4 linked regions of the Drosophila melanogaster genome follow. Changing the gene in region 4 together with the main gene of any one other region gives a genetic interaction. Each region holds a gene or a part of one and is shown on either strand. Other genes may lie near its edges. The genes, in order: cnc, rpr, hh and Dfd.

Evidence for each region.
Region 1: of Dfd (region 4) and cnc, changing one enhances a phenotype caused by changing the other (phenotypic enhancement), as found in Drosophila melanogaster (2 studies listed by BioGRID).
Region 2: of Dfd (region 4) and rpr, changing one suppresses a phenotype caused by changing the other (phenotypic suppression), as found in Drosophila melanogaster (one study listed by BioGRID).
Region 3: of Dfd (region 4) and hh, changing one enhances a phenotype caused by changing the other (phenotypic enhancement), as found in Drosophila melanogaster (one study listed by BioGRID).

What each region holds. Positions count from the first base shown.
Region 1 is NT_033777.3:23,216,976-23,225,500, forward strand, and holds the start of cnc (cap-n-collar), read right to left. Parts: upstream 4,987-8,525; 5' UTR 4,871-4,986; exon of another isoform or gene 4,787-4,870; intron 3,922-4,786; exon of another isoform or gene 3,669-3,921; 5' UTR 3,442-3,668; intron 2,275-3,441; 5' UTR 1,933-2,274; coding exon 904-1,932; intron 1-903. UniProt on the Drosophila melanogaster protein: Plays a role in posterior cephalic patterning. Probable subunit of a heterodimeric regulatory protein involved in the control of head morphogenesis.
Region 2 is NT_037436.4:18,394,957-18,401,727, reverse strand, and holds rpr (reaper), read left to right. Parts: upstream 1-3,292; 5' UTR 3,293-3,492; coding exon 3,493-3,690; 3' UTR 3,691-4,193; downstream 4,194-6,771. UniProt on the Drosophila melanogaster protein: Activator of apoptosis, as well as grim and hid, that acts on the effector Dredd.
Region 3 is NT_033777.3:23,136,484-23,145,177, reverse strand, and holds the start of hh (hedgehog), read left to right. Parts: upstream 1-3,271; 5' UTR 3,272-3,656; coding exon 3,657-4,136; intron 4,137-8,694.
Region 4 is NT_033777.3:6,788,332-6,796,748, forward strand, and holds the start of Dfd (deformed), read left to right. Parts: upstream 1-3,504; 5' UTR 3,505-3,993; coding exon 3,994-4,780; intron 4,781-5,165; coding exon 5,166-5,266; intron 5,267-5,331; coding exon 5,332-5,509; intron 5,510-8,417. UniProt on the Drosophila melanogaster protein: Sequence-specific transcription factor which is part of a developmental regulatory system that provides cells with specific positional identities on the anterior-posterior axis. Homeotic protein controlling Drosophila head development.

The sequences.
Region 1 (8,525 bases), about 16 Mb from region 4:
GCAGTTAAAATGTTTTTTGCGCAGTCGAAGCGTTTAACGACCTAATTGCCGCTTGTTTTGTGTGTTTGCATATAATATGTAAACTTTGGGCACGAAAGATGGTGAAAGTTGTTGCGCACGGTTTAAAAAAAATGTTAGCCAAACAAAAGATAATTATTGTATTATGAAAAATACTTATTAAAGATTAACGCATGTTATCAGAACTTTAAAATGCTACGACTTGGGATTTCGGCAACATATCAGAAATAAATCAAACTAAACTAAACTAAAAATCAACTTTTGTTGATTTCTATTAATCTCCCAATTAGATGAATCAACCCTTTTAGAAACCCTCCACAGATAACAATTACAATCTTACAGATCGACAGCGTATGAGTGGATAACCGTGACACAATAGTCATGCTGATGTGTAAACAAAGTTGAAACCCTTATCTGTTGATAAGGTGAAAAAGTATCTCGCATGCAAGGTGACCAATCCAAACAGAAAGCCACATTTGAATATATCGATTGACGGCGGGGAAACTAACAAACTATAATTATAATGAAAGCTGAACGGTCAGAAATGGAGAGGCAGCCAAGGGGAGAACTATGGTTGTGGAATGGGTCAAGCGATGGGTTCGCAAATCTTCATTAGCAATGCAAAATGCTTTTTTCTTTTTTATAACAACACTGCTTGATAATGGGCACAAGCACACACCGAAGCACAGGTCTGCTGGTGGTGCCATTTGAGTGACTTCTAATCAGTCAAATCAAAGTCATTTACTACTACACTCGAAGAAAACGTCAGTCAATTGAATCTGTTAACAAGATGTAAAGCTTACATCTAGAGCACACCTTTGATTTGGACACTCTGCGTATAAAATAAACTTTGATTCATTTTTTTTTCAAGTGTATTGGCGTTACCTCCTCGTCATCTCCGATTTCCACCTCGTTGGCGAAGCAGTTACTGCCAAAGGGCTCATCGGTGGTCAGACCCTCCACCTCGCAGGCGTTGGCCACTCCACCGATCAGCTCGCCCTCGTAATCTTCATCCTCGTCCTCTCCGAACAGTCGACCCAAATAGAGACTCTCCTCGCCATCATCGCTCCTTCCAGCCGAGTTATTTGTGACACTACCCAGATTCCTGGGATGTGGAGTGCTATCATTGAGGGCGGCGGTGCTGAGGGGTGCTCCACTGCCGCCGGTGAAACCATGTAGAAGCGCCGCCAAGCTGAGATCCAGATGCGAACTGTTTGATGGCTGAGGCTGGCCATCCTTAAGAGGCAGATTTGCATAGGGACTGGTTTGCAGACTCAAATCATTGTAGTCATAGAGATCCGCTAGATTCTGTTCCCAAATGGAACGCTGATCCTGCAGCGCATGTGGCGTGAGGAAAGTGTCCAATTCTGATGTTGGATGCAGCGGCGAATGGTTGGCATTTCCAGGGTCCAGCGAGGCGGTATCAATGTGGATTTCACCCAGTGCAGAACCACTGGTTTGACCACCCGAGGTGGGTGCACCACCAGTACCAACCACCATTGTACCGCCAGTGGCGGCAGCACTAGTGCTCTGCACATCCTGCAGAGCTGCCGTCTGGACACTGCTATTCCCGGTGGTGTTGTGGAGATTCATTACAAAAGTGCTGCCGTTGAATCTTGGCGGAAGCTTGCAGCCCCCTATGCCATTGGCCATTCCCCCCAAGGAAGGATCGTCGAAGTTTAGGAGATCCTCAATGCGGGGACTCAGTCCTTTACGATTTCCATACGGGTTGTGATCCATATCCAGGCGGTGTACCGTCCGCAGCATCTCCAGCTCCCATCCATCGCCATGGGTGCCCAATTCCAGCTGCGAGTCCCAGCGATGGAGCAGGTAATCGGGATTATAATGCAGCAGACTCAAGGCCAAAGCCAGCTGCAGCATTTTCATAGCGTACGATTTTTTGTTTGAGATCATTTTGTTGCTTTCAGAGGTTTCGATACGTGAGCGAATGGGTGCGTGGGTGACTCTTGTAGTCCGTAGTCCACCTCCGCCCGCCGCCTCCTCCTCCTCCTCCTCCTCCTCCGCTGCTGTTGTTCTTGTTGTTCTCCGTCCCGGACAACAGCTCTACGGCTGCGTCGTCCGGGATCTATGCGTTCAATGACGTCGCCTTGCCCCGCCTTCCGGCCTCCTCCTCCTCCTCCTCCTTCGGCGTTCCGAAATCTGCGCAAAAAGCTGAAAATTCGCAGTTTCCACGGCCTATCTCCCCGATTTTCCAATGCTCTTTGCTTTTAATTGATGGCTGTCCTCGGTTTTGTTCTGTAAGCAAATCAAGATGTGACAACAAATAGAATGGAATTAGTAAGCATAACGATTTGCTAACTATATGTACATATGCAAGTATGTAGATATGTAGTGTAATATTCATACATTGCCGCATGGCCATATATGCAGTTTGAATGTTAAATGAAAATGCTTTTGTTTCGAGTGGTGCAGCCTTTGTTTTGTTTGCCAGTCGATTTTATAAATTGCTAAGCACGAGGAAGTGCACCAAAGAAAGTTCAACTTCCGGGTCGGTAACGTCTTTTATTAAAAACACATCTAATTTCCACATCGCGATTATATTAGGATTCATATTTATTTAGCAAAAACGAACACAATTATGTTTTTCTGTTCGCAATTATGTAGTTAAGGTACATAAGTAATACTTTCGAGAGATATTAAAATAAATGAAAGATTGTCGTAAGGAAACATCCCTTATCTCTATTATTTAAACTTGAAATTATAAATGTGCAGAAACACTAACAAGGTTTTGCTACAGAAACACAACACATAGTTTGTTTTCATACCAAACCAAAGTGGATAGCCTAGAAAGGCTGTTATGATGATGACCTAGCGCATTTCAGCATAGTTAATTTCATATTCAGAGACAATTAAGCAGGTCAAGAATCGAATTTTCCGAAATATGTGTGTATAATACATAAATACATATATGCATGTATCCTTCTTTGGTTGTTGTTTTGTCCGAATTCTGTTTGATATCCACAACGCATTTAATATGCCCATCCTGTCCAGCCACACACACACCCCCCCCCCCCTTAAACAAGGTTAACAGACAACCGCCCACCCGAAAAAGGGGGGCGTGAGGCGGAAGGAATGACCCAGACCCAGACGAAATGGCTTTGAACTTGAACTTGTTCAAGGTCTCTCGCGAGCATTTGAAATGTGCGCAATGCGAAGTGAAGCACCCGATTCAAGGACGGACGAAAAAATTGTGTGCAAAATTCTTTCAAGGTTCGATATAAACTTTCTTTGTTTAAAGCCATTTTAACAAAAATCCAAACTTTATTTGGCTCAATTCTCAATGAAAAGATGTGCGCGAGAGAGAGAAAGAGAGGGGTAGGGAAATGACGTGTGCATGTGCGTGCAAGAGAGGGTTCTTGTGTGGGTGTGCGTGTGATTGTGGCTGTATTGCAGTGCACTCACCTCAAATTTTTTTTGGATGATGAGACCCGACTACAACGGTAAAAAAGCTGCGGCGCAGTAAATGTTCTCCTTGTTGTTGTTGCCGTTGCTTGATCTTCTTTTCCTCTTCGCTGCTTCTTCTTCCCTGCAGCACACACAATGGTTTATTGTTTACCGTTCACTTTTCTTTTGCTCTGCAAGACCTTATTTGTTTATGTTTCACTTTCTACGATTTTTACTTTTAATTGCTGGAAAACACGCGTTTTATTTATTTAACAACTTTAAATATATATTTCGCTTGTCTGCGTCCTTGAACTTTCTCTTCTGCAGACAATTTGCATTCAAGTGCCATTAAATATTAATAACAATTGATATTTGATTATGTGCCACCTGGTGCTTCTTTCTCGCCGTCTGGTACGCACTTTTGTGTGAGAGTGTGTGTGGTGGTGGTGCCGTTTTACGTGGTGAAATCGTCACTTATTTGTTAACCCTATATTGGACCTACGTCAAATTAGAATTTGAAGTCATTTGTATGTTAAGATTTTCAAGACAGCTGTAAAATTATTTAACTACGTTAAGGTACAAAAAATTGTCAAGTCCATCAAGGGTTAAAACAATAATATTTTCGCTTCGTTTGTTGTTTTTACACTGCCTAATATTTGCATGTGTTTTGCCTCCACATTGCTTTGTATTTCTTTGTTTTCTTTTATCGCCCGATTCTCGTCTCTCTCTGACTCACACACCAAAAAAAAAGACACGCACACGTTGAAGCATACAACTGCTGTTTTTTCTTGCCAATTCCAATTCGGTCTGTGCCCACAATTAATGCAATTAATTAAATGCAAAACGATTTAATTTTTTGCTGAGAATCGCGGAGAGCAAAACAAATAGGAAAAATGAAATATGGAAGCTTCGAGAATGAGCAGAGAATAACCGGCAACGGCAGCATTTCAACATTCACTCTGCACTTTGCATCAACAAATTATTTATCAAATTGCTAGTTCCTTTTCGTTCCCTATTCTTTCTAACTCGATGTTTTTCTCGATTGCATTCTGTCAGCTGAGCGGTGGAGAGGGAGCGAGAGAGGGAGACTGAGCGCGAGAGCGAGAGGGGGCGATTGCTGAATAACTGTTGTTGCTAGCCTGTTGGTCGTTGTTGTTTTGATTGCCTTTAACCCACCACCCCCACCGACAGTACCACCACCACACAATGAGTTGCACTTATTTAGTGGGGCATGCAACATTTCGCAACTGTAGTTCTTAAACGCACAACCGAAACTTTTTCATTTGTTGTTCCGGCACACAAGCACACGCAGCCAGACACGCACACACACACACACACAATTTAAGCGGCGTGTACTTCGCACCTTTACGCGTCTTCTTTCACTGTTATTTGGCAAATTATTGTCGCGTCCGCTTTGCTACTCTCTTTCGCCAACCGCCGTACCTACGTGGTGAGCTTGAAAACGTGTTTTGTTTGTTACGCCGCGTTTGGCAATTTCTCCGCCGTCGAAATCAGTCGCGATTTTCGATTGCGGCCTCAAAACATTTGAGGCAAAAAACGTCTGTCCAGCGCGGTGCTTTTATCAAGTGTGCCCAGTTGAGGCTCTTTGCAGACGATTTTGTTGAGTTTTGTGCTTTTGCGGTTTTTTTCGGGGCCGCCAAGTGCGGTCTCACCATAATACATTGTGCTTTTAACAGAAATGTTAAATGTAGCTTAAACTAACAGTGACAGAAAGAGCTTTTTAAAGGAGAGCTAGAAATGTAGATTTCGGTTACAAATGTATCTTTATTACCTACCTTTTATTTCTAGATTTAGTTTTTAGAAAGAATATCTTAAGAATATAAAGAACATATTTATATTTTCCCTAAGAGTAACTTATGTAGACATGGTGGCTATTGCAATTTTATGTAGATATGGTGTAAGCTTATAAGCTTTTGACACGTGTCCATGCAAATTTTTCAGTTAATTTGCATTAGTCATTTTTTTAACTAGTTCTACATAACAAAGTTGAAATTTGTATTAAAATTAAAAATAAAGGGATATATATAGTTTTATATTTCCTTAATATTAATTTAAAATAATTTTTTTTCATGATATTGATATTGATATTCTACATGCATGCAAAAATACAAATATCTTAACAATAACTTCCGTTAGCTATTGATATCACAAATGGATACATTTGTATTAGACTTGCTCAATAAAACAGATAGCCACACTATTCAGAACGTGTAATTCAAAATATAGCTAGAAGACTATCAATCTATCTAAAAGACCTGCTCATAAAAATTAATTTAGATTGATGGGGGTAATTTATAGATATATTGCGTTCTGAACTGGGAACATTTGTGCTGGCATTTGGATAAAGTAATTAACACCGAAGCCTTTCAATACTTACCAGATTGGTAAAATGGAAGCCACCTTTCCAAATGTTGGTCTTGGCGTTACCTGGCGTCGTCGATTGGGTGATGGATGGCGTTGGCTTGGCCAGTACAGCGGGCGTGGAAGCCACCGTGGGCTTAATCAGCTTACTCAACTTCGAGGGTGGTCCAATGGGCACCCGGACGGTGACCTTCTTCTTCGGATTCAGCTGCAATTGGGTCTGGTGGTAGGTATATTCGATGTCCTTCGCCGGGGACAAGGATTGCAGCCGAGGCAGATCCTCTAAGTCGATCATTATTGCTTATCAGCTGGCACAAATGGTGATGAGTCAATATGTCAACTGGAATGAAAGCGAACACACAGATAAGGATGGGTCACTAGGTTGACTAGGCTTTTTTTTAGGATGGTGGTTTTGAACTTAATAATTCTGTTCCGACATTAAATATAAACAGTTTGTTTTCGGCGTATAAGAAAATGTGTTTTTACTCATTTTGATCAATGTGACAGATCAAAGATATAATAAATTCATATATATTTTAGTAGCCATACTCGTGTGATTTTATTTTTAATTTCTTCGAATTCCCTGCTAGTAACTTTATCGAACTTTCACTGTAAATGAGCTATAAAAACTGATAAGCGAACTTCGACGGGTGGAATTCAAAAATGAGATATAGCCAACCTAATGGTTTGTTTTATTTGCCATTTATTGAGAAAATTACACACATTCACACAAATTCAAATGTAGATAAGTACAGTGGATGCCCAACAACAATATCAACTCCCACGAGAATCCAGAAAGATAACCGCGTGGAAACGGCATTCATTATCTATCAATTGATTTGGGAACAAAGTATTAGGTATCAGTAACCATAGAGGGATTTCTCCATTGTACACAATACAGTGGGCCCTGCCTTGGAAGAATGCAAATTACATCAGCCAATGTTCCACAGGGGGAATTTTTCGATTAGATTGGGACAATAAATGAATCATAAAATAAATTAAATTGGTCGCACTTCTAAATTTTGGGAATCAGCCATGAGTCCCTGCTATAAATTTAATCGACAGGTTCTTTATAGAAATTGGTCAAAAGATTCGTACTTATTTGTTAATCTTTTCTTCTTTAACTATTAAAATCTATGGTGTTAGCAATTTTAAATGACATTTCTATTTATAAGAAATGTACTTAATTGTGTAGACTAATCAATATTATAATTTATTTGCTCTTTTTCATAACAGCTATCATTTTGACCTTTAACGGTCTGCTTCTCTATATGAGCATATTATCTATCTATTATCTATTCAAAACAAATACGTTTTTTATTGGGCCACCTAGAAGTTGGCAAACCATCAAATCGTATTTATTATTGTTTAAACAATACGCAGCTTAAGGGTATTATGGCTCAATTTAAGGAGTTCTGGGAATCCCATTACGACGCTTTGAATAATGCTCAAAGTAAACAATTCGAAAAAGCTGTGATCTTCGGTTTGTTGCTATGACTCAACCAAATGTGCGAAAAAAATCAACAATTACAATGGCAAGTAAAAAACAATTGAAGTCGAATACAATTCGACGGCTCAGAGCACTAACTTTTTTGAAGATGAGATACTGAAAGATACTGAAAGAAGTGGGGGAAAGAGAATGGTCAAAAGCAGTGGTTGGTAACAAAAACAGTCTGGCTAAAATAAAACTGGAAATGAAAGTTGTAAGATACAAAGTGCGTTTTAGAACTGCTAGTTTTGGGCATCGAAATGCTTTAATCGGAGCTTAAATATATGTTTTGAGGAAGACGTCATTGAGTTTATAAAAAATCAAATATCAATCAACTTAAAATGTGTTGGCTTAAATGGGTTGTCAAGTGAGATTGTTATCGCTTATAAGCCAATTAATGGAAACTTGATCTTATGAGAATTCATCGCATTAAAGATTTTGCTAAATTTTCAATCCATGTAATCAGATTTCGTACTGTGCACCTGCGCAAAGATAAATAATATGGGCAGTACCTTAAGCATATTTCATTATGCAAATCATTCTGGTCCAGGTATTCATATTTATAAACAGTGAAATCACAATACAAACTTAGTTAATATCGAACGGTTTTTTCCCCGAATCCAAGTCAACATTGCAAATCTGTTCGAGTCGAGATAAATAAAAACAAAACCAGTTTCTTTAGGTTTTTTTATCTGTGGCTATACTCTTGGAATGGAAAAGAAGCGCTTTTCGAAACATTTTGTCAAAAGAAGAAAAGCTACTTTATTTTGGAATAGAAAACATGAAAATTAATCAAGAAATTCTAATCGATTTGTTCTATCAAGGCAGTATTGTTTATTGTAATTAAAATTTCACCAAAATTTCATTTGTGGCATATGTTTAAGCAAGTTTAAAATAGATATAATAGAGAATAAGTTACGCTTATTATGATTTTTTCTAGTAAGATTTTACAATCTCTGAAGAGAAAAGTTTTCTTTGTCTTCGAGTACTTTTGTCACACAAAGCAAGAGTATTGCCGATTTCACGTGTGTAAGTTGATTTGCCCGTGTTGATTTTAATAAATACCCTCTGTTTGTTGTTTTCGCAGTTGTCTGAGGCAGTCGCTTGATGCCTTGACGTAGTTTATAATTCGAATCAACTCTGGGCTTAATTAAAACTCGTAGAAAAATGCGAGAAAAAATGTGAGAAACAAGCTAACACCAAGCAGGCAAAGTTCAAAACAAGCCTTGCG
Region 2 (6,771 bases), on a different chromosome or scaffold from region 4:
AAATAAATTGTAATGTAAAAGCTATCAATTTATCCACTGAATATAACATAAATGATCCAATAGTAGAATTACAAATGAAATGGAACGAGAGAAAGCTGAAACTACTGCACTAAATTGTTATTATACGGTTGGAACTAATAGCTAACAATTTAATAATGAACAACCTGTAGATTTGGTTGAAGTACGGATTATACGATGAGTATTGTGCATGACACAGCAGTTTGATCATAAAGGTACAAAGAGATGATTGCCAATCTAGTATTTAATTCTTTTCTTTTATTTGCCAAGAATGATTGTAGATACCCTATAAAACGGTACAATAAAATAAAAGCAAAAATTAGGGGAATTGCGCAAGTTATCGCATTGTTGATATTACTCATTAGCATTCGTGAATGTTACGAATGTTTTGTATATGTACGTACAATGTGTGATATGTAAGACATACCGATTTGAGGCAGTCCCAGACAAAGACAGAGACACGTCACAAGCTGCGGAGAGGAGTAAGAAAAAAAAACTGATGAAATTATCGCTAAAAATTTGCTTTCATTTGGGAATATCACGTTGGATGCCTCATGAAATGTAAAGTGAATTTCTGGAATCCCAATCAGAAACAGGATCGGCAAACTTCCGGGTAGATCGAAAATTCGATTGACACACTTCCCAGGAATGAATATCGTATCATGTGGGTCATTTAACATGTAGATTGAAAACTCAATCGAAGAAACATAATCCAATTTGACAAACTCAATAGGCCACAAGACACAAGTTAAATTGAAAGTCAGGCAGTTATCTATGCAAATGATATATGGGTTATTAAACAAGTCGAGATTCGACTTTGCCTGTTGCACCCCAACCGGAGGCATGCATTATTTGAATAAAAATGACAATAATTACCCGCATTATCCCTTAAGAAAATACAAGTACCCAAAATCGTAGATAACTATCTGTTACTTTGAAAATATCGCCTCATTGGGCAATTAGAGATTTAGATCAGAATCTTAAGGAAAGAAAAACTGAATGAAGTCTGTGATAAAGGCCTTGAGAGGATAATCATCGAACTAATTGACATTCGACAGCCTCAATTATGACTGATGCGCAAATTACCGCAGGTTACCGCGAAGGACATACATTTAAGGGATAACGTTAGCCATGTTTCGGTTAACTTAAGGCCCTTTCTGGCTCCACCCTTCTTGGCAATGATTCAGCTACATAAAAAAGGTCCCAACCTAAACTCCGCCCCAGAAAACGAAAGCAGACCCAAAACATAAATTTCCAACTTGAACCACATTGGTCGTCCCCCAAAACGTGCGAAAGAGAGGGAATGCCCATTTTTCGGCTTCCTCTTTTTGCCCGCTGGAGCAGAAAACGCTGTTAGAACGTAAGCCACGCCCAACTGTCCCGGATTTATATATGTTGTATGTGTGTGTTGACGCGAACCCGGAAAGAAAAGACTCATGAAAAAATAACTATAGAGTCGAATGGTTCTGCTGTGCGACTAGGACGGCAGTGTGAAAGAAAGAGAACGAGCACGCCCGGCCGAGGAAAGTAGAGTAGTTCCTTCAACAATAGACCTAGACATCAGAGCTGTGGAGAGGTGGTCGCTATAGACGATGACGCAGAACATCCCCCAAAGTGATGGCTATTCTCTATCACAGTGGAAACACTTGAGACGCACGTCGTAAGATTCGGCTGTTTGCCTGTGTGTGGGTACGGTATTACGGTACTACGGCTTTGTGGGTGGAGTTTGAATGGAACTTAAAACTCATCGCGGTTCTTTGGGTGGGGTAAAAGATTTTAGAATTATGCAGGTGGAGTTTCAAGAGCTAATTTTCTATTACATATATATATGAAATTTATTTAAACATCATAACGAAATTAAGAACAAAACAATAGTATGTTTATGGGTAATCCGACTTAGATACGATGAAAAATGATGAAATATGTATTTACGTCATTAAAGAGAAAGTTTCAGTTGAGATTTAAAATGTAAACGACCTATATATAATAATGCAGAATATATATTATTAAAGATAATTTCAATAAGCTTCCTATATGTTGGAAGAATACATTGTTCGGATATCATATCCATCAGGAAGGCAATTAATAATACTTTAAGCCGCAGGGAAATTTTCGTGTATGATTTCCAACGAAAACATTCATATCGTATCATATCATATCCGTCTGGTTCCGCTCTAATGAAAATGAATAAAATTGCACACGAAATATAATGGGACGAGCCCATTGTTGTCAATATACTGTATATGGCCTTTAATTTATGACATTGTCATAATTCTTAGTCGGAAGCTTCGGATGATTGTGTAAACACTTGTAGAGCGCGAGATACTGATAAAGAGGGATCTATCTAGATATGGCAGGTGGGCTGGTCCATGGAAAAGAGAGAAAATAATTCAAGAAATGGAACGGAACTCTTCCTTGCCCACTTGCCCATATTTCAAGTGAATCCGCCTCCCACTTGTTATAATACCCTTACAAGAAGCTATTCTGCTTAATTATGTAAATAGTTTGTACTTTAAATGTTGTACTATTAATAGCATCAATGTGTCCAACCTAAAAAATATTGGTTTTATTTTTCCATCATTTTTAGTTGGAATTTTCTTATTAATTACAATTCAAGAATTTAATCATATTATAGAAAATATACTGGCGGTAATAGCTAAAAGGACTTTTTGCTGATTGACATAGATGAAAATAAATATTTTTAATATTTAAGAAATGAAATTCGAAGGATTAATATGAAACCGGCTAGATGGTTGTACTTGGCTGTTATCAGGTATCCGGCTTAGTTTAGTTGCTAATCACTAATGGGTAGCTAGTGTAAATAATGTTAATCTTAGAGGGTATTCCAAACTTTAGTCGTGAAGCAACTCTTGTATGTCTTTCTCTGTCGAACTCCTTGATGAGAAACGATTGTCATGCCCCGACGATTTAATACAATTAATATGCTAACTGTACTTCTCGCCGCACACAGTTACAACAAAGGCGCTGCCACCAACCTGGCAACAACAACACAACCTCATACAAAAACACGCTTGGCAACAGGCGCAAGGTGGCCCCGCCCCCGCTCACGATGAAAAGTAGTACTTTTTTGGGAGCTGCGAATGAGACGATGTCAACAGAAATACCAAAACAAAAAAACCCCAGCCAGAGAGCCGAAGAGCGAAGAAGGCCAAAATGAGCAGCCACCACCAGAAAAACAGAGAACAAGGCGGCGTGAGAGAACCAGGTATAAATAGCCTCGGAGCACTACTCAATATATTCAGTTGAAAAGCAACCATCGCAGCGAACGCATCTCGAAAAAATCATTGAATAAGAGAGACACCAGAACAAAGTGAACGAACTCGAAAATACGAAAGAAAAGTGTGTGCGCCAGCAACAAAGAACTAACTCGATAAATATTCATTGTGCAGAAGAGAAAGTTATTGAGTCACTACCAGTTGTGTAATTCCGAACGAGAAGAAAGATAAACCAACAATGGCAGTGGCATTCTACATACCCGATCAGGCGACTCTGTTGCGGGAGGCGGAGCAGAAGGAGCAGCAGATCCTTCGCTTGCGGGAGTCACAGTGGAGATTCCTGGCCACCGTCGTCCTGGAAACCCTGCGCCAGTACACTTCATGTCATCCGAAGACCGGAAGAAAGTCCGGCAAATATCGCAAGCCATCGCAATGAGGATTCGAGTAACTAACAAATACGGGGAAAACCAATAGTCCAGTCCAAAATCCAGAGTACAAAGGAAATAAGCATGAGCCAACCCAAAACCCAAACACAGTCACCACTCATCAGCCGACGGCACTCGATTTCTACTGCAGTCAAGGACACAGAGCCACAACACCCACCCAATTTTAGTTTACTCATCAAAGCGATTGTGATAATGGTTTTGTTTCTACAAAAAAGCGGAGGAAAAATTTGAAAAAATAACGTTTTTATAAAGTCCCCAATTTTTTACAAAAATGTTTCAATGATATAAATCAACTTTTTTAGAAATAATTTACTCTTAAAGCCTATTTAAATGAATTACTACTGTAATAGTTTGTAAGTTCTTTTGTAAGACGAGTTTTTCTAAGTTTTTTTTAAGAAGAAACCCCAGAAAAAAACGAAGATGAGTCGAAGTTGGCTAAAAATTGCATCAATTTTTTGTCAAACAAAAAGTCAATAAAACAAAAACAAAAACTAAAAAAATTGTTGGTTTTTCATTTACTTAAATATTTTCAGATTACCATTTATAAGATTTAGATACAAAAAGCGAAGAAAGCCTAAGATGATGTCTCGAAAAACTGAGTTTGGAACAAGCACATTTTTTATTTCATTTCGCCGACGGTAAAAGGAACTTTCTAGAAGGCTGTTTAATAATCAGTGAAATTATCGGTGGTTGTGAAAATTATTTTACATGTGTTTGGTTAGGAAACGTTAAAGATTTTTTTTTGTTTTGAAAAAGTTTTTCATTTGATTTCCGGCGTTCGGTGACAGAGTCCGCTTTGAAATATATCTTAATAAAATATTAAGATTGATATTGCCGGAAATAATAATAATAATAATAATTATAATAATAATAATAATTTAGTTATAATAATATTAATGCAAGCTAATTTCTTGAATTATTGTAGAACGAATATAATTATAAATCGGTATTACATATAATAGAATCTTAACCACATTATTTTTAGTTTTGATATAAACTATTTGTTGTAGAAAGTTAAACCACGTTTTTATTAGTCACTTTCCAGACAATAGATTTATTTAAACTTCATTGTTCTTTAGTTTTCGATATCTTATCGATATGTATATTTAGACATGGCTAGATCAACTCCAAAAACTGGAATATTGTTAAGATCAATCACATCAATTGAATTAGGATATGTATGAATATTATAATTCTATATAATAATACCACTTCTACCATTAGATATTTTATTTTTAATATAAAAAAATGAATTCCCAATTTCTTGGAATGTGCAAAGTTAAGGGAGAATGAGTCTTTTAGTCCAACTTTTCCACTCTGAGAAAAACTTTTCAGCCACTCCGACAACATTGTTCAACACAAACGGCAGCAAGAAAACACACAAAGAAAATTCAATTATGCAAAAAGGAAATACAAAAATATTTGCCAAGATTTTTCGATGCAGAAACTTTGTAACAAGAGAGAGCAGGCGGGGGAGTTGCCCCTACGGCAGTCTTGACATCTTTTCCCCTCTATAATTTCAAAAAATTAGGTGCTAACAAAACAATTTGCATTTTTAAGTTAATTTTGGCAAGCGCCAAATGGCAGGGAAAAATTCGATGTGCAATTCTTGAGGGTCTCGTCATCAGCTCGAAGGATATGACTCTGTGTTCCGCGAACGCGGCCAGGACTTTTAATTAAACTTTTGCACTTATGCAGCTGCCATATCCTTGCACATCCTGCAGTTCAATTCACTTTGATTGCCCGAAAAAAGTTAATAAAAGTTGGCAAAGCTCGCGCAAAAAGAAATCAGAAATTTCACTTTGCCAAACAAAACTAATTAACGTTAAACAGATAAAACTTTTGCCCACGCCAGCCGGAGTGGCATATGAAAAATAATTAACACAAGTTTATGATTATGTTTGAAGCTGCGCCAAACGTCGAGCGATTTGTAAGCGAAGTGCTGTAAAAATCACAGACGAAAAGCATTTAATCCCTAGCAGCAAATTCTTCCAAACTTTTATTTCTGTCTCTGCTGTTAATTAGTTCGAAAAGTGTTTCTAATAATGCCAAAAAGATGCAAAAAATACAATGGAGCCCGCTTAGAGTTAAGTGAACTCGAATCAAAACAAAACTTTATCCATAAATTTCCAAGAACTATTTTCGGTCAAGAGGTGCAGCCCTTTTTTTATGTTTGGGGTCTTAGCCTTGACTGATCTTTATCCGTTTGTGGTTCCATCGCTCTGCTTACCTTCCACATAATTGTCTGGCATGTTAGCCAATTTTTCGTTCCATACTTTTTGTTTGAATAGAACAGGTAAAAGGTAGGAAGGAACACAAATAGTCCGATTCTGCGGATACTCGTGCAGAAATTAATGAAGACCCAAAAAAAAGGGTCCACTGGCAAATTCCCAAACCAAATCGAAAATTTAACAGTCCGAAGTTGGGATGCCTTGTTGAAAGACGGCGGATCATTGCCATTTTGTTCATATTCGCTTTATTTCAAGTAAACATTTGGAATCTTTCTGCGTTTTCAAATATTGTTGGGGCTTCCTTTACTTTTCATTTCTCGTGACTAGGAAACCCAAGACTATACTCTTTGGCAATCTTTGTGGTTAATTCTTTCAATATCCCTTCAAGTTTTTATGACAGAAAGCGATGGAATATAATTAAATCAAATCGAATCGAATCAGCCATGAACTAATGGCACGCAGACTAATGTCATTAGGTCGGACAAAGTAGAAATGCTCCTGTTCCGAAATTATGATAGCAAGGGTCCTTGCCCAAGGATTAGCCAAAGGCCTGTGCGTGTGCTTGTCGTCTAATCAATTGGAAAACTCCACCGAAATTCCACCTCGTCTATTATGACAGTTGTGCAAATGGAGGAAAATTGTACGCAGAAGGAAATTGGATTAGATGCTTGAAATTATCAAAGTGTAACCTCTGGAAAAATAAAAAGAAAAAAAAAAATCGGCGTGCTCGAAAATGTAATCAAAAAAGGAAGAAGTGCTCAACAAAAACATCATTTATAAGCCGCGACAGCAGGAGCTCGCCAAAAGAACCGAAGCATTTAAAAATATACTTTTGATTGA
Region 3 (8,694 bases), about 16 Mb from region 4:
AAAGCACGCGTTATGGCCATTATTATTTGTTAATTATGTGGCCGCTCATGGTTCTCTCTAATGCCAGAGCCGCGCGACTTGTGCAGCCAAAACAAAAGACTTTGGCAACAAACTTGCCAGCAGCCGCAGCTAGCCCAGTGATCATAAAGCACCTCTAAAATTCAATGAACCCCAAGCGAGAGCGGCATAGTTGGGGAGTCACAATCGAAATTGGCTTTTAGATACTCTATATAACAAAAGTTTACTTTGCTTTTCAGTAACGAAACCACTAACCGTTTACTTGTTATTTCATTGGGTCACCTGCGCTTCCTTTGAAATTAACATAAAATACTTGCAGCCAAGCTGGTCGTTTTATATTTTAAATTAAAAAGTTACAATATGGCATTTACCCCTTTCATTCACCCCAAATCACATTACATAAGCCACATACCCACACCACGGGGAAGCGCATTAAAAAAGAAACAAAAATTCAAGTTTCATATCGAAGTTTTATGATCGAAACACCAACGAAAAGTAAGAGAACAAAAAGAGCAAATCAGCCGCAACCCATGGCGTTGGTGGGAATGGTGGGATCCAAGCCGAAAATCAGCCCCAGACCAGCAGGAAGGGATCAACGAGGACGGCGGAGGTAGATGTGGAGATGGAGATGGAGGTGATCCGGGCGAGGCAGCAGCAGCCATGTTAACAACTTCCATTAAAAGAAATTAAAAGCAGACGGAGACGCCGTTGGATGCGGACGCGCCATGGCGCACAGAAAATGGCGTTCCATCTGCTCTTTGGCATCTTGCCCATGGATTCCATGCCGAGTTGAATCAAAGGAGCTGCTTGCTGGGCTCTCGAGCATTCTAGTTGGCCAGCGAATGGTCTGAATATTTCCGGTATGTCTATTTGGAGGATCTAGCACACGGCAAAAATATTAATCTTAACTTGGTAGATGAGTAATTCAAGTGTCACATCTTTTCGTTGATCATATAGTTTCTCAACATCAAATTTCGAAGAATGGTAATTGTATTCATTTTTTTTTTTAATGTTTTGACATTAAGAACTGCTTTTTTACATTTTTCACCGTGCAGCATTACAGGTTGCCATTAAAATTCAATTTCGACTTATAGCTGTTGTCCCATTAATATTCACATAAATCAAAGCTGGACCAAATCTAATTACAGAAACTAATCTGCGGCTTTTTATCTCGAAGGGCCTGGAAAGGCATTTTTTGTTAGTTTATTTATTTAGTGTTCTTTTTTTTTTGTTTTAACTCTTTTCTGTATTTTTTGTGAGCCGTTTCGGCTAAGAGCGCGATCTATATGATCGTGATTATGAGGACCGCTGGCCGTCTCGCTTGCTCCACGGTCTGCGATGCCATTTATTCATGCTCATTAAGTGCTGGAGCGATTGTTGTTTGCCCATGGGCCCGGGATGGTCTTCGCATCTGTATCTGGCTTGTTCACGGTGTGTTGTGTGTTCATTCACAAATGAGCGCCTTAAGCAGCTCCGCCCCACAGATACAGATACAGATACAGATGCGGAGGCCCAAAGACACATTCGAAACTCACACAGATACACACAGCGACGAACGTAATGAGTTCGGTGCGCACACAAAGAAGGCAGAAATTTATGTGGCAGCCACATAGACTCTCGCACACACACTCGAATGCCCGATGGCCCAGCATCCAAGACTCGTATATTCCATACCCCCTTCCATTTCAGCTTCTTCATCTTTAATTTGGTTCCGTGTATCTTGTTGATGGCGTTTTGCCTTCTCTTATATCTTTTGCCGCCACGACCAGCTATTGTATTTCTCCTCTTTCGATTCGTTTTATTTTTTTTCTTCGATTCATTTCGTTTTTTGTCGAAATTATTATGCTATGCCTTGCATTCCAGAGCGTTACCAAAAAAAAAAAAAATGCTATGCCCCCCCATGGAATCCGTTACATGAGCAGGTGCACCTTGGCCCTTGGTTCTACCCCGTTGGAAAGTGACAATTTCTTGGGCACACATTGACGGGCGTATTCCACAATTCGCGCTTGCCAAGTGACAGTGCAAATAGACCTGGTGCAACCGCAAAAAAATAAATAAGGTCTGGAAAAAGAGCCAAAACAAAAGATTAGCGCTTGCCACAGATCCAAGTTCTGAAAGTGCGAAAAAGCTAAAAAGTTAAATTGGAGATTTCCCAGTTGTGGGGAATTTTATATTAGCCAAAGTCAACAGAGATAAAACTGGAAATTTATTGATTTCCAGAGTGCGGCATCAATCCGCAACTTAGTTATTTGCTGTGCATAAATATAAGGTACCTAATTGCAAATTGTATTTGCCAAAATCGTTATCGGTTTTTGCAATATATATAGACATATTTGCGATTATTGACATGGCGTTGAACGGAACCTCTGGCGGAGAAGGAAATTGTTAAATTGACCAGTAATTTGTAGGTCCTAAGGCGATATCTAATCGGAACATGACCACTACCTGAGGGGCATATGAATGACTCACTGGGTGACATAAGCTCGGAGCCTTCGATGATCATAAAGTACTTTAGTTTTAAGCACTTTTTCCGTTCCTTGAAGACTGGCAAACGGAAGCAGCATTGAACCCATATGTACTCCACATATCATACCATATACAATATACATATATATGTATGTATATATATAAGGCTGCCCAGGAGTCACACAATACACAAAAAACCGGAACATTATTAATTTACAAGCAATAAAGCGAAACGAACAACAAAACGAAGAAAGGCAACGGAAAAAAGTGAACAATGGCCTGCGATGGAGGAGTTGCAGGGCCAGAAGCGGCTAACAAGCCACAAGACTCGAGTCGAGTCGAGTCCGAGTAGTGCAAGTGTTAAGAGAAATTGCAGTTGCAGTCGAGGATGCTGCAGCTCTTCTGCGCCAGCAACGCACACTATCACACATCCAATTGGCAACAGGCACACACTTTCATCCATGGCCATAATGGACCGCAGCACACTATGCCAATGCCATCCAACATCTGTTGCCAACATTGCTTGTACATAAGAGCCGAAGACTCAGGCACTAACACATGCAAACCAGTCTTGTGAGTATGCTGCATCATCTGGTTGTCCCGCTTCCACTTCCCTTGCGCATAAGGCAGCATAAAAATGAACACCACAGCCGATCGAACGTCGAGTGGCATACGCATACAATCACAACGCGGAATGAACTCGAGGCGATAGTGTGTGTGTGCGTGTGTGTTTGTGTGAGCTAAAAGGCCTAGGGTTCTTGAAAGCACCCTCGTCGTACTCGTACTTATACTCGCATTCGTATTCGCTGCCGTACTCGTACTCGCACTCGAACACTCTGCGCGCACGATACTCCGCTCGGAAATGTCATTTGTCAATCACAGTGCGAGCGCAACGGTTGTCCGAACCGAGAGCTAACTGCCAGTTCAGCGGAGAACAGTTAAGACCGTAGTTAAGTCAGTTAGGACCTGCGATTTCGCCGACTCAAGTATTTCGATTTAGCCAGTTTAAATCCAAATAATACCATAAATCTGAATAACAAACGTGTCGCCAAATAAGCGTGTCTGTGTGCCAAAAGTGAAGTGCTAAATAACCAAAAAAATAAATAAAAAAAATTAAAGGAGATACAAAATCCAATCAAGAGAAACAGCAAACAACGAGTCTTAGATAAATCATGGATAACCACAGCTCAGTGCCTTGGGCCAGTGCCGCCAGTGTCACCTGTCTCTCCCTGGATGCCAAATGCCACAGTTCCAGTTCCAGTTCCAGCTCCAAATCCGCAGCGAGCTCCATCTCCGCAATCCCGCAAGAAGAAACGCAAACGATGCGCCACATTGCGCATACGCAGCGTTGCCTCAGCAGGCTGACCTCTCTGGTGGCCCTGCTGCTGATCGTCTTGCCGATGGTCTTTAGCCCGGCTCACAGCTGCGGTCCTGGCCGAGGATTGGGTCGTCATAGGGCGCGCAACCTGTATCCGCTGGTCCTCAAGCAGACAATTCCCAATCTATCCGAGTACACGAACAGCGCCTCCGGACCTCTGGAGGGTGTGATCCGTCGGGACTCGCCCAAATTCAAGGACCTCGTGCCCAACTACAACAGGGACATCCTTTTCCGCGACGAGGAAGGCACCGGAGCGGATCGCTTGATGAGCAAGGTAAGGAAAACCCTCAAACACCGTAAGCTAGTAACAAAATTTGTAATACATCATTGGGAAAGTTTCGCTTATCGGAATCATTGTGACAAAGTGACTTAAAAATTATTTGTAAAAACCGAAATATTGACTTATTAATCACGATTAATCAGAAATTACTTAACATTTAGTATTGTTAGCAACACAAATGAAGTGAAAACCCAGTCTTACGCCAAATAAATGACTAATTCTAGGAAAAAATGTGAGATAACTCTACCAAACGGAACTTGTAATGCTTTAATAGTACACTTAATATTTGGTCTAGGTATTATTTTGTGATAAAAGTAAGCCTACTTTGATATAGGAACACAATGAAATGCCTGTTAAATCTGAGGTATGGAGGTCAAACACACCATTTAGATGAGATTTTATTGCTGATATTGTTCCGAATTCGTCTTCTATATCAGACAGCTGGGTTCCGATTTGCGGCTAGGCTAATTCCGTGCTTATTGCGCACTGCACTCACATTTTGCCACCCGTCGTGGTCCGTAAATTCAATTGTCAAATTAGCGATCGCTTATCGCTCGCGCTGTTTTATAGCCCGTATCTAGCGATCGCCCGATGGCACGAGATTGTGCCACTCGGTTCCCATTGATAAACGCTACGTGGCGGAAAAGTGCCCAATCATTGATCGAGCATTGGCTATTTCACCAACTTTATGGTGGCGATGGCTGCCATAAAACTGGGCTGAAATATAGTATTAGTTTTGAGCATTGGCCATTTATATGATTAATTATGCATCTTATCGCCGCACTGCACTTGTTTCGCAAGTGCAAAAAAACAGGAAGCCCGATACTCGACGGCTGAACGGTAGATAGCGCCTGAATTCCATCGAACTAAGCCATAAAGCTGCAAAGCGTCCCGAAATCCAAACAAACCGAGCGAACGCGTTCAACAACCTCGAGCCCAATCGATCCCCGGGTCATCATTGCAAATACATAGTTTACTCAACATTGTGTGTACGCTTCGCAAATGCGTTTTCGATTTCGCGCTGAACAACAAACAGGGTATCGAATGCGGGAGATTACAAGTCCCGGTATTTATCAGGTTTTACTCAGCCAAAACCACCGCCCACCGCCCACCGCCCACCCTGTCCGCGCCCCAAAAGTGGAGGCACGCGAGCATTTGCCGCTTATCACCGGCGATTGTCTGATAAGCGGACTGCAGCCAAGTAGTTCGTTTGCCAATACACGGTTACTATCCCCCCAGATAGTCACCCTATATTTGCCAACATGTGTAGCTACATGCTGGCACTGAAAGAAATTGGGTTCGCTTGGCATAATACTATATGCTTGCCACTTTATGGTTTATGCTAAAAGAGGTATATGATGGTTTTTATGTGTGAAATAAAATGTGAAAATTAGTTTAGGTGCAAGTTATACGTTATACGTTATACGTTGCTAGTTGCGCTATATCGGTGCCAGAACAAAATGTGTGCTAAGATACCAGCTAAGGCGAAGAACAGCAGTATCTTATCGCCATAAAAAAAAAGGGGCGGGGGTAGTGAAAGTGGAGTGGGTGGCGGTGGGATGACCACCCAGTTGGTGGGGGAGCGGTGGTTGAGTTTCAAAGTGCGAAACAGCTAAAACAAGTGTTCAATTCAAGCACCATGCGACAACATTTCCAATTAGCCAGCAGTTAGTGGGGTGGTTGCGTTGCGGCCAGAAGTCGGCTTAGCACAGTCAAGACCCCCTAAGAGGGCCGACATTGAAGTTGCTGATATATATAATCGGCACGCTTCCCACCAGCTTATCTTCGTGTTACTTTAATGAAATTTTAAGTGTCGATGTGTAAAAATAGCCTTGTTATTGATTAGCGCCATAAACGAGCTATTGGGCTTTTATGGCGGACTTCCAGTTTCCTTGGACGATTTGGTGCTATTGAACAACAAACTAATAATCAGAATTGTGGGAAGACAGATTACGCCTGCCAACCGACTAATATAGTTGATTTAAAGGGTTTAGTATCGCCCACACAAGTGTTACAATGACTTTCGATTTGTTGATTTATTAGTCAGTGGTTAGTGTTTCGCAAAAACGACTTAGATCTTTAAAAATCAGATTTTACTGTACTGTAAAGTTAAATCGTATTATCGAACCAGTTGTTCGCCTGCTAGAGTTTCACTTGAAAACCAATTCCAAATTGCATTTGGCAACTGCCACGCGCCCATCGGGGGATTCTAAATGGTTGCAGCCATTTCAGATGTTACCTTGAATTTGATATGCAATCAAAAGGTATCGCAGCCTTTCCAGAAACTGGCGAACAATTAACAGTTGCTCGCACGGCAGCACAAACGCAGTGACACACCGAAGGCCAAGGTCCTTCGGGCGATTGACTAAACGGCCAAGGACACTCGGCGAGCATAAAAATCCTGTTGTTCACGGGACAAATATTTACAACGGCAACTGTTCCGCTACCGAAGTCGTATACATATATCCAGTGACATTGAAATCTTTTGCCATTCCTGCAAGGAGCTGCAAAGAGTACCGTGGAGTGCCAGCAGAGCGCAACTAAAACGCATTTTATGTGGATTTGGATCTGGCTATCAGACCGAATGACTTACTGGCCGCTGTGCGTGAATTTCAGCTGCTAAACAATTCGTTGTGGCCATTTAAAAGGCTCGAAAGTCGGACTGCTAGCTGCGTGGCCCTGACTGTGGGTGTGTTGCACTTCCCTCCGCCGGTTGCATAAACAAATTGCGAAATTTCAGCAGTCGCCATGCAATGCAGCTACTCCTAACCGAAACGAACAAATGCATCGTAAAGTACTGGAGCTTATGACAAGTCATTGGCTCAGGTAATTACCGGCGAATGTGTCTAGGGCAACACTTCTCTTCAGACCTTTTCAGCGCTGAACTGTTGTATCTGCGGTATCTGAAGTTGAATCTTGAATGCCACGGGATTAGACGAGCAGCAGAGCAGCAGAGCAGCAGAAACCGCAGCGGACAGATGGATATGGATGTGGACAAAAGAATGCGTCAAAAGCCGCAGCATAAGTTCTAAAATTTCATAAATTGTAGCAACAATGGGGCTGAGGGCAAAGCCAATGGGTAATCCGATATGATTATTGACATGCATGCAGCACTGCCAGTCCTCCAGACTCCATACGCCAGCTCCTCACTCCCTGATCTTCCAGACATGCACATCACCATCAAATCAACTCCACTCAAATCAAATCAAAGTAAGCCCTCAGCCGAGCCATTCTAATAGAGCATTATGACTCAAAATTGATCCTATTATGACATAAAAAAAAAAAAAATAACTAAAACCTAAGAGAAAGAACAGAAATCGCTGGGTGGGATGATGTCAGAGCTTCAGTTTCATTTTCCCTTTGCCAAAAAAACAAAGGAACTCAAATCAAATCACGTCAAATGCTGCGATAAGCAAACATCAGCCAATTTCGTGGGAACATTCCTGCGGCGAACAAAGTAATCAAACTTATCAAACAAACATCAGTCAGGCAAAGTGGACAAATCGTCTCTTTCAAAAAAAGAGCCCCCCCAATATGAACCCCATATATGTTGTATATGTATCGCCGATGCGGATTCGCACTGTTTATTTGTTTGTTTTGCTTTTGTGCGAGATGCTTTTATATTATTATTATTAATCAATTTGATACTTTTACGAGGGCACTCAGGCGCGAATGTTCAAGGATTTGTTGCCCCAAAATGCCATCGATATTTGCCTTTTTGGATCTCTGGCTTTTGCTTTATTTGCATAAAACTTTTATGAACTTGCGCCGGGAGAGAATATGGAAGATCGCGATCAGAGATCGCGTCGCGGCTATCACATTACTGCTGGGCGAGTGACTCACATTTCACATGGCTCCTCTCCTGCTCTGCATCCATTCCTGCAAGTCATCCAAGATCCAGGGGATCCGGGGATCGAACGGAAGACCCCAAGGCAGCCGCCACCCCCTCGCCTACCCGCTGTCCGTTGCTCCATCGGTGCCAGTGTGCGGCTCATAACTCATCATCAAAGTTAATCACACATCAGGGATTATGGCGCTTATCATTTAAGACCCGGCCCGAACTCGGCTCTTACCTGACTCTTGGCTACTCCAACTGCCAGCTTCAAGCTCCAAGATCGAGCTCCAAATGACTTTTGCTGATCGCCGGGGGGACATTAAATGTGGCAGGCAGGTGGGGCAGCGGGCAATAGGCCACAGCTGAGATTTAATTTACGATTTCTGCAAATTAATAGCATTTAATTAATAACAATAAAATGACGCCTTCCCCTTATGGACATTTATTTGACGCGTGATTTACGAGCATTTGTAATGCGTTTGGGTTTTGTTTTTTTTTGTTTGTGGCGAGTGGATTTAAGGTCTAGTAAATGGAAAATTTTAATTTGCATTTTTACAGTGGGAAATTCAATTACTTGCGAAACTTGGCTTATCTACCCGTTGACTTTAACCACTATACCATCTTTCGAAGTGGTAAAAATTCAATTAGCCGCGATACAGCACCCTTAATCCCCCATTAATCCAATAAAGGTTTCAACTTCTTTATGCTCTGCCATTT
Region 4 (8,417 bases):
CTTAAAATAATTTTAAAATTACAAGTTTTTTTTTTTTAAATTAAGTGTACTTAGTAGATTCAGTTTGGTTAAAACAAAAGAAAACTTTAATCGAGTGTCTCGACAAAAAGGTTTTGGTTACTTAGATAAAGTAAAGGAATGGAGATAATACCAATTTTTTGGTATAAAGCTTGATATAAGCTCAATTTGCGATTTAAAGAAAATATCCTTTTAAAATTAAATATTGTTTCGTCAAAAATCGATTCGAAAAATCGAATCTACAATTATTTTAAAACAACTATAGCTGCGTTAGAGTCACTATCATTTATTTTTTGTCATATATTTTATAATATCACAAAATGTAACGGACAAGAAAACTGACTTTACAAAATCGACCTCAACTAGCTTTAGTTTAGCTTTAAAAAAGGGGGCCCTAAAAATCAAACAAATTACATTGAATTTATACCAACATAAATAAGACATAATTAAGATCTTAAGATAATTAGGATATATATTATACAATATAAGGACTGACTTTGGTTTTAGTGATGTTTCACATTACAGACTGCTTCAGACTATTTCCTATATAAAATAATCAAATTACAACACTCTGCAGTGGTATCAAACACGCTGGGCGTCTTGGCGTTGCCAAAGTTTAAAAACAAACTTGGGCAGCATGTTTTTTTTATGTGTTGCTAAAATTTCCATGTTCCTTCATTGGGTTAAAGCTTTAACATACAAAAATTACAAAATAACTTCAAAAAGTTTTAAGAATTGAAAGTTATTCCTAATTTTTCTAAATATACAAATTGTTTTAAGGTCTCTTGTGCCATTCCAATGATTAGCATTTACATAATTGCAAATATTAGTGAACTTATCAGTTGTTGTGGATACCACCCATTTTGCATAACATTATTCGATCGCCGTAGAGTGCTTTTTAATTTTATATCACAAAGTTTTGATGGCTGGCTTAAAGAAGCGAGCTGAAAACAAAGAAAGTCCATACTCAAAGCATGGTGGCTCTCTATATGTATTCGCATTGGTGGTCGTAATGTGCCTCAGTGGATGTGGATGCGACATCATTAATCACGTTTCAGTGTGTTGCCTCGTGCAGCAAGTGAACTTCCTTCTGCCGCCGCCTGACAGTCGCAACTGATTGCTGGATCTGAATTGGGATTTGGACTCAAATGCCCCGGACAAAGAGCAAGCAATAGCAACAAACACCCACTGTCCCCCAACCGAGCCATCCTCGTTGTACCACAACCCATCCTCCCTGCTGGCTCAGGGAGCCCTCATCCCTGCGCAAGCTGGGACTTTCCCAAACCTCCCACATCGTGCTTCCATCCACCTAAGGAGCTACGTCAGAACTGAGAAAATTCGATGTAGCAGCCGCTAATGCAACTGAGTTTTAAAGGTCCTCAAGCAGCAGCCATTCAGGAGTGTAATATGCTAAGCATGGAATCTAAATTTGGTACTATCTTTAAAAATTTTAAATACATAAGAAATTAAATAACAGTTTTCTGATTTTAAATTTTCGAGAAATATAATAATGTAATTTAAAAGCAATTATATTTTTGGATTTGGACCAAAGTTATTTGTAAACAAATATGCGTAATGAATCACACAGTAAAATTAGTAAACATGGAACTTCCATTAATTAACACTAGCTGGTCAATTAATTCGAACACTTTAACGTGGAATGAAGACCTAAACCAACATTTACTCCTATGAGTCTGGCCGACGGACCACAGACTAAATTTAAGTTTTATAAACTTAACTAGCCTAATGACGTTTTGATGGTGACCATCAAAATCGAATCAGTTGGAAGTCGATTAATTAGTGGCCATGCCCCTATACCGCTCACATATGGAACTGGTGAAGGAGGTGGCACAGCACGTGGACCTGATTGTAAGGGGGTTAAGATATTTTTGGTGGGTTTACCGGAGGTCCAATTATTCGGCAATTAGCCAGAGTCACTTTCAGAAACACACTCCAGAAGTGTGACACGAATTTATGCTCAATTTAACTTTTATTTGAAGTGAGTTAGGGCAGCTGGCTCTATAGGGTCAGCAGATTTCAAACTTATTAAAATATATATCACAAAAATTTAAAATCTGTTGAATTCATTAAGCGAAATAATCAAAAGTTTGTATGATATTACCTATAAATAAATTGTTAATATTCCGCATTGCTCGAAGTACGAATTTAAAAGTACAAGCCATATTTTCTTTTACCCACATTATGGATTGTTATGAATCAGTCTAAATATTTACTAAAAACAATATTAAAGCATTAAATATCCAACCTTCTCGATGTGCATTATACAACAATCATTCTATTGATTTTCCACGTTTCGCTTGCTCCATTTGAATATGTGCCCGTCATCGCCATAACAACAACATCGGAGGAAAAATCACGGTAGTAATGACAACAATAATAACAGCCTTAGCCCCAGCCAGACCACAACAATAATCACAGAGGAGAACAAAGTGATATTCGTTGGTTGTTCAATTGAAATTGTTGCAAGTCAGCTCGGACTCTCCAACTCGGTAGCTGAATTCAGACGAAGAAATCGGCATCCAATAGTACCGTCCCCTCTTTACGATCAATACTGTTGTTACCCACGCGTTCTCTGCATCGTTCCTACAGAATCCATTTATGAAAGTGGAAAATAAATGGTGTGCTCCATATCCACACTTACGTCTTGTCCGGGATCGATGAAAGCCTTCTGAAAATGGGCGGAGTTTCTTGGGTCCAGACAACTTTTTCGTCGAGTTCAATTTTCGAGCGTGCGCCATGACTTTGAAGGTACCAGCACACTCACAGCAAAAGTACAACCAAAATAGTAAGTCTGAGGGAAGAACAGTCGAGGGTAGGTAAGTAGGTGTGCTAATGAGCTAAACAGTGCTGTTTGAGATATAAATATAACATTGAATCAATTCAGAAATCCTATTTCTCTATGTAGACAATTGCGTTTTTAATTTTCTATTCGATTTACTGTCATTTCAATTTATTAATCCTTGGAAAGTAAAATAAGCTTATTTCGTAAAAAAATAAATAAGACGTTACTAAAATATAAAAAAAATATATACACTGTACAGTAAAAGTAAAATTATATTTTAAAGTTTTAATTAATGGCTTTTTATTTTTTTTTTTTAAGAATACTTCTTTGAACTAGTTCAATATTGTATGCCTTGACTGTTCACGCAACTCAAAATGGGTGTGACCAAAGATCTGGCCATCCCGCTTTAACCACAATGCTCCCTCTCAGTCGCGCTTGCGAGAGAACTATGGTCAGTGGTGGAAAATGGCGTACGAGGCGAAGGGTGAGAAAAGGTGAACAGACATGGCTGCTACATATGAATGGCTTTATTTGTGCGCGTGTGTGGGCCGTCCTTCGATTGCTTCGGCAGTGAAAACCCGTTTTGATGGCAATGGCGGTGAGAGAGAGCGAGCGAGAGCACAAGCAAACAAGAGCGAAGAGTGGCGAAACAGGTTCGCTCGCACGGAGAGTTATCGCCAGCGAGCATAACAAAAAATCGGCTCGAATGGGACGGTTCGTGTTCGCAGCGCACTCGTAAGACCGAAACGTCCGACTTTTCTCCCTGTGTGGGATTGAAATTCGTTGTAAAAACGTTTTTTATAACCGGAAAATAACACCATAATCAAGTTTCTCAGAATTCCAAGGCCCCACGGCTTTTAAAAGTGACAAAAAAGTGCAAACAAAGTATAATCAAAACAATAAAAGTGAAAATTATGAAGACAACGGGAGCCTTCTAACCCCTTTGTTTAGTTAAAAATATTAAAAAGAATACGAAATTTATTTTAACCAACACAATCTTAAAAGTAATTACTACTTGCAAAAGCAGCGCCTTTAATCAATAGTTAATGTACTAAAAGCAAAAGGTTCGGAGTATGTGCAATCCAAGTGATAGTGCCCAAGAAAAAATCGAATAACAAAGTAATAACCAGGAAAACGCATCCGGTGAACCCCGATCCAACAGACCTTCCGTCATGAGCTCTTTTCTCATGGGTTATCCGCATGCACCACATCATGTCCAGAGTCCCATGTCCATGGGCAATGGCTTGGACCCAAAGTTTCCGCCGTTGGCCGATGACTATCATCACTACAATGGACACTATTCGATGACCGCATCTACGGGTCATATGAGTGGTGCCGTCGGCGGTGGTGCAGGTGTTGGGTCTGTCGGAGGTGGTGGAGCAGGTGGGATGACTGGTCATCCGCATTCCATGCACCCGGCGGACATGGTCAGTGACTATATGGCGCATCACCACAATCCGCACAGCCACTCCCATTCGCACACCCACTCACTACCGCACCACCATAGCAACAGTGCAATATCTGGACACCACCAGGCATCCGCCGGCGGTTACAGTTCCAATTATGCCAATGCCACTCCGCCCTCACATCCGCACTCGCATCCACACGCCCATCCGCACCAGAGCCTCGGCTATTACGTCCACCACGCCCCCGAATTCATATCCGCAGGAGCGGTGCACTCCGATCCCACGAACGGATACGGACCGGCGGCAAACGTTCCAAATACGAGCAATGGCGGTGGTGGCGGAGGAAGTGGCGCAGTGCTCGGAGGTGGCGCAGTGGGTGGATCGGCAAATGGATATTACGGCGGGTACGGTGGGGGTTATGGGACGGCGAACGGAAGTGTGGGCAGCACCCACTCCCAAGGACACTCGCCGCACTCCCAGATGATGGATCTGCCCCTTCAGTGCAGCTCCACGGAACCACCGACGAACACGGCGCTGGGACTGCAGGAATTAGGTGAGTCCATACTAATAGAATTTCTGTTGTCTCTTGGAATCCGTTGAGATTTGATAGGAGGATATACTTAGTACTATTTCAATAATCTGAAGATTATCAATCGATCCTTATATTAAATATATATTTATATTTATATTTATATAATTATTTTTTTTATTTATATATCAATTCCATAGCAAAGTCATTTTACATTCGTATATCCAAACCTTTTAAAATGTCTAGGGAGCAGATTGAGAAAAACACTTAAAATAAGCCCACAAGATTGTTATGCCGCATAGTAATATTAAAAAAGATCTAATATTTTGTACATATATAAGCCCTTCAATTCGATTTTAGCTACTCTAATTACACTGTACCAAACTAAAGTGACTTCCATTCCATGCAGGCCTAAAACTAGAAAAACGCATAGAAGAAGCTGTACCTGCCGGACAACAACTGCAAGAGCTAGGGATGCGATTGCGGTGTGATGATATGGGATCCGAAAACGTAAGTACTTGCAGCAGATGTGCCAAGAGAGAATGCGTAATCGAGGCCTTGATTGACTTGTTTAGGACGATATGTCAGAGGAGGATCGGCTCATGCTGGATCGATCTCCAGACGAGCTGGGCTCCAACGACAACGACGACGACCTCGGGGACTCAGACAGCGATGAGGATCTGATGGCGGAGACGACCGATGGCGAACGGATCATCTACCCCTGGATGAAGAAGATCCATGTGGCGGGAGTTGGTAAGTTGAAAGTTTCTCTTTATCTCCTGCTCTCCCCTTCGCGCCCATGTCGTGTCCCATTTTTCGGGGTATGCTAATTAAATTACTTAGCTGCCAACACCCACTTGATTCACTGACAGGCCCCTGTAATGTTCGTTCCTGGGCGAAACCCAAAATGAAAATAAACAATCTAAAAGCCAAAGACACCAGCCAACCGAGTAACTTAAAAAAGAAAACTGCGACTCCAAGCTCATTAATCAAAATCAAGAGTGCCACGCCTTGCGTCGAGGGGCGAACCGTGTTCACCAAACGACAAGTTCCTGTACATACTACTCCTATATAATATAATATAATGCACATAACGTTAAGTGAGTCCCACTCGCTGCAATCAGCACTTTAAGAGGCTCCTGGTTATTAGGCCTCTTCAGAGGTTCTTTCAGCACTTGAACTGACATAAAATCAACTTGGACTGCTGAATGGTACGGTGCCAATTGATACATCATAAAAAGTCATCCTGGGAATGTAGTATAGAGCTGCATATATATGTAGTTTTTTTTTTTAGGCAATTGAAACATTTTTGTCTAGGAAGAAACAATCGTTAAATTAAACCTCGAAGATATTTTAACGAACACTCATTCTCATTTCAATGTTCTTCTGAAAAATTGTATGTATCCATTCATATGCTTAGCCCCCAGAAAATAATTTCCAGGCTCTCTGAATTATACACAGTAATTTTCTAAGGCCTACAATGAAAGCTTTTTCGACTCATTCTTGGCACAAAAACTGAATGCAACTTGGACATGGAGAACAGGTTTCTTGCCTGGTTTCATTCACCAGATCCAGAGACCGACTGAATGGGCTCAGTTGAGTTGACCTGGCAGAAATAATTACTAATTAATTGTCACCCCCCAAACGGGGAATTCATTCAGCCATGTTTCGAGTGTGTTACCAACAACATCTGACGGCCAACTGTAGATTGTCGTCGCTTATTGTTTTAATAAAACCAAAATAGGGATGCCACGGGGCGGCAAGTAGGTGACGAATGCGTTTCCCAGAGGATCGGATGGAGGTCTGAAGCTACTGATAGATTGCTTTTTAATTAGCACAGCACAGTACACAGGGATACTCCAGTTCGACCATAACCTTGACCCAAATGGGTAATTATAACGTTTCGCTTAACGCCACTCCGACTCGCTCATTGTCAAATGCCTCATCGGTTCATCGGGTTCCCAGTACCCACTCCCGATTTACTTGACTGTGGAAATTTGTCGTTTCACTGAAAAAAATATAGTACATAATTCAAAGTTGGCTTCAAACTAAAGGGTTTTTAAATAATTTCTAATTTTTAATAATCCAATTAAACATGTTAACATGATGAAATTTGGCTTTACAGTAGGAACCGAGGGTCATATAAAAGCAATGGCTTAACTATATTATTAATATATACCATTACACATTTATTGTGTTCGTACCGGTTTCTAAGATGCTATTTCTAATATTGGGACATTTAAAATAAAACAACAAAGCCCGCATTTGATTTTCTTTATTGTGGAAAGTTTTTCTTAGTGTCAGCATCAAAAATCAAACCCAAAAACGAAATATCGAAGTTGTGCGGCGCGCAGGGAGACAGGGAAACGATCGCTCGGGGGCATATTTGACACAGTCGCAAGGTACACCATACCAACTTATCTTCGGGCTCATGCTCGGATTCCGATTCCAAGCCCCCGCCCCTCCATCGGTAGGGTATAACTCCGACTGAGTGACGGATGGTCCGTGTCATTTGATGTTAATGTTGTGACATTTATCATGAGCGCACGACCACGAGAACAAGACGGGGCTTGATTATCGCCAGTGCATCATCTTATCCAGCGTCTTGGCATCCGTCTCCTTCTCCGTCTCGTTGTGCCCCAAAACGCAGACCCGTGACCCCGGGTTCCCGCCGGTGTCATGTTATTCCCTTTACAAATGACTTACACTCGCTTAGCACTTGCCCGAAACTAAGGCCCAAACTATGAATGCCGCTGATGTGGCGTGTGGTCTCTTGCCGAATTTAATTTGCTTTGGCCCTGCGGCGGCCTAAAACTTGTTTCAAACTTGTGCCTCCGTCGAATGAGAGAAGCAGAGCTAGGTGTGAATCGCATTTGGAGAGCAATTTGTGGATTATTTAATAGGTGTCATTAAAAGTGTTGAAAGGTTGTGAAAAATTAATGGAATCGGGCTGCAGTCAGGTTGCAGTTGAAACTCTTAAGTTTGATGTGATGAACGAAAATAAACAGAGCGCTTATATTAATAATCGAATCTATTTGATTAGATAATTTATATCGCCTTAAGTAAGTGTATTACATTGGACAAATCCAAATACAATTACAAATTTATGCAACAACTGGAAAGTAAACATATATTGGTAAAGTCCACGAACTGTTTTATGGTTTCTTAGACTGCGCTGGTAATGTTATGTTTAAATATGTTGTTACACAATACTTTAATGAAATTAGACCATAAACTTATTTTGTTGACCACATGCTAATGCCAAAACTGAACGGAATAAATTCTGTGCGAAGACTTGACTGAACAATATTGATTTCATGCACGAAGGCGGCTCAAGATGAGGTGGCTAAAAACTCGTGCAAGTTTCGTGTTTATAGAGGGGGAGACACTGAGCTATAGACACGGTATAGTCGCTTTCAATGAACAGTGGAACGTGAACAGCCTTGTACCTGAATTTCAATGGCAAGTCCACGATTAAGTTTCCACCATGAGGCAGAGTTTGCCTGAGAGTCACAGTTACCCGATGACTTGCGGAAAAGCCTCCGAGACGGGCAAAAAAAGTGCAAGCCGCAGATACAGATACAGATTCGGATTCAGATACACGAGTCTCAGCCGCAGATGCTGTAAAAACTCAGCTGGAATTGCGCCTTCGCAAGAGTGC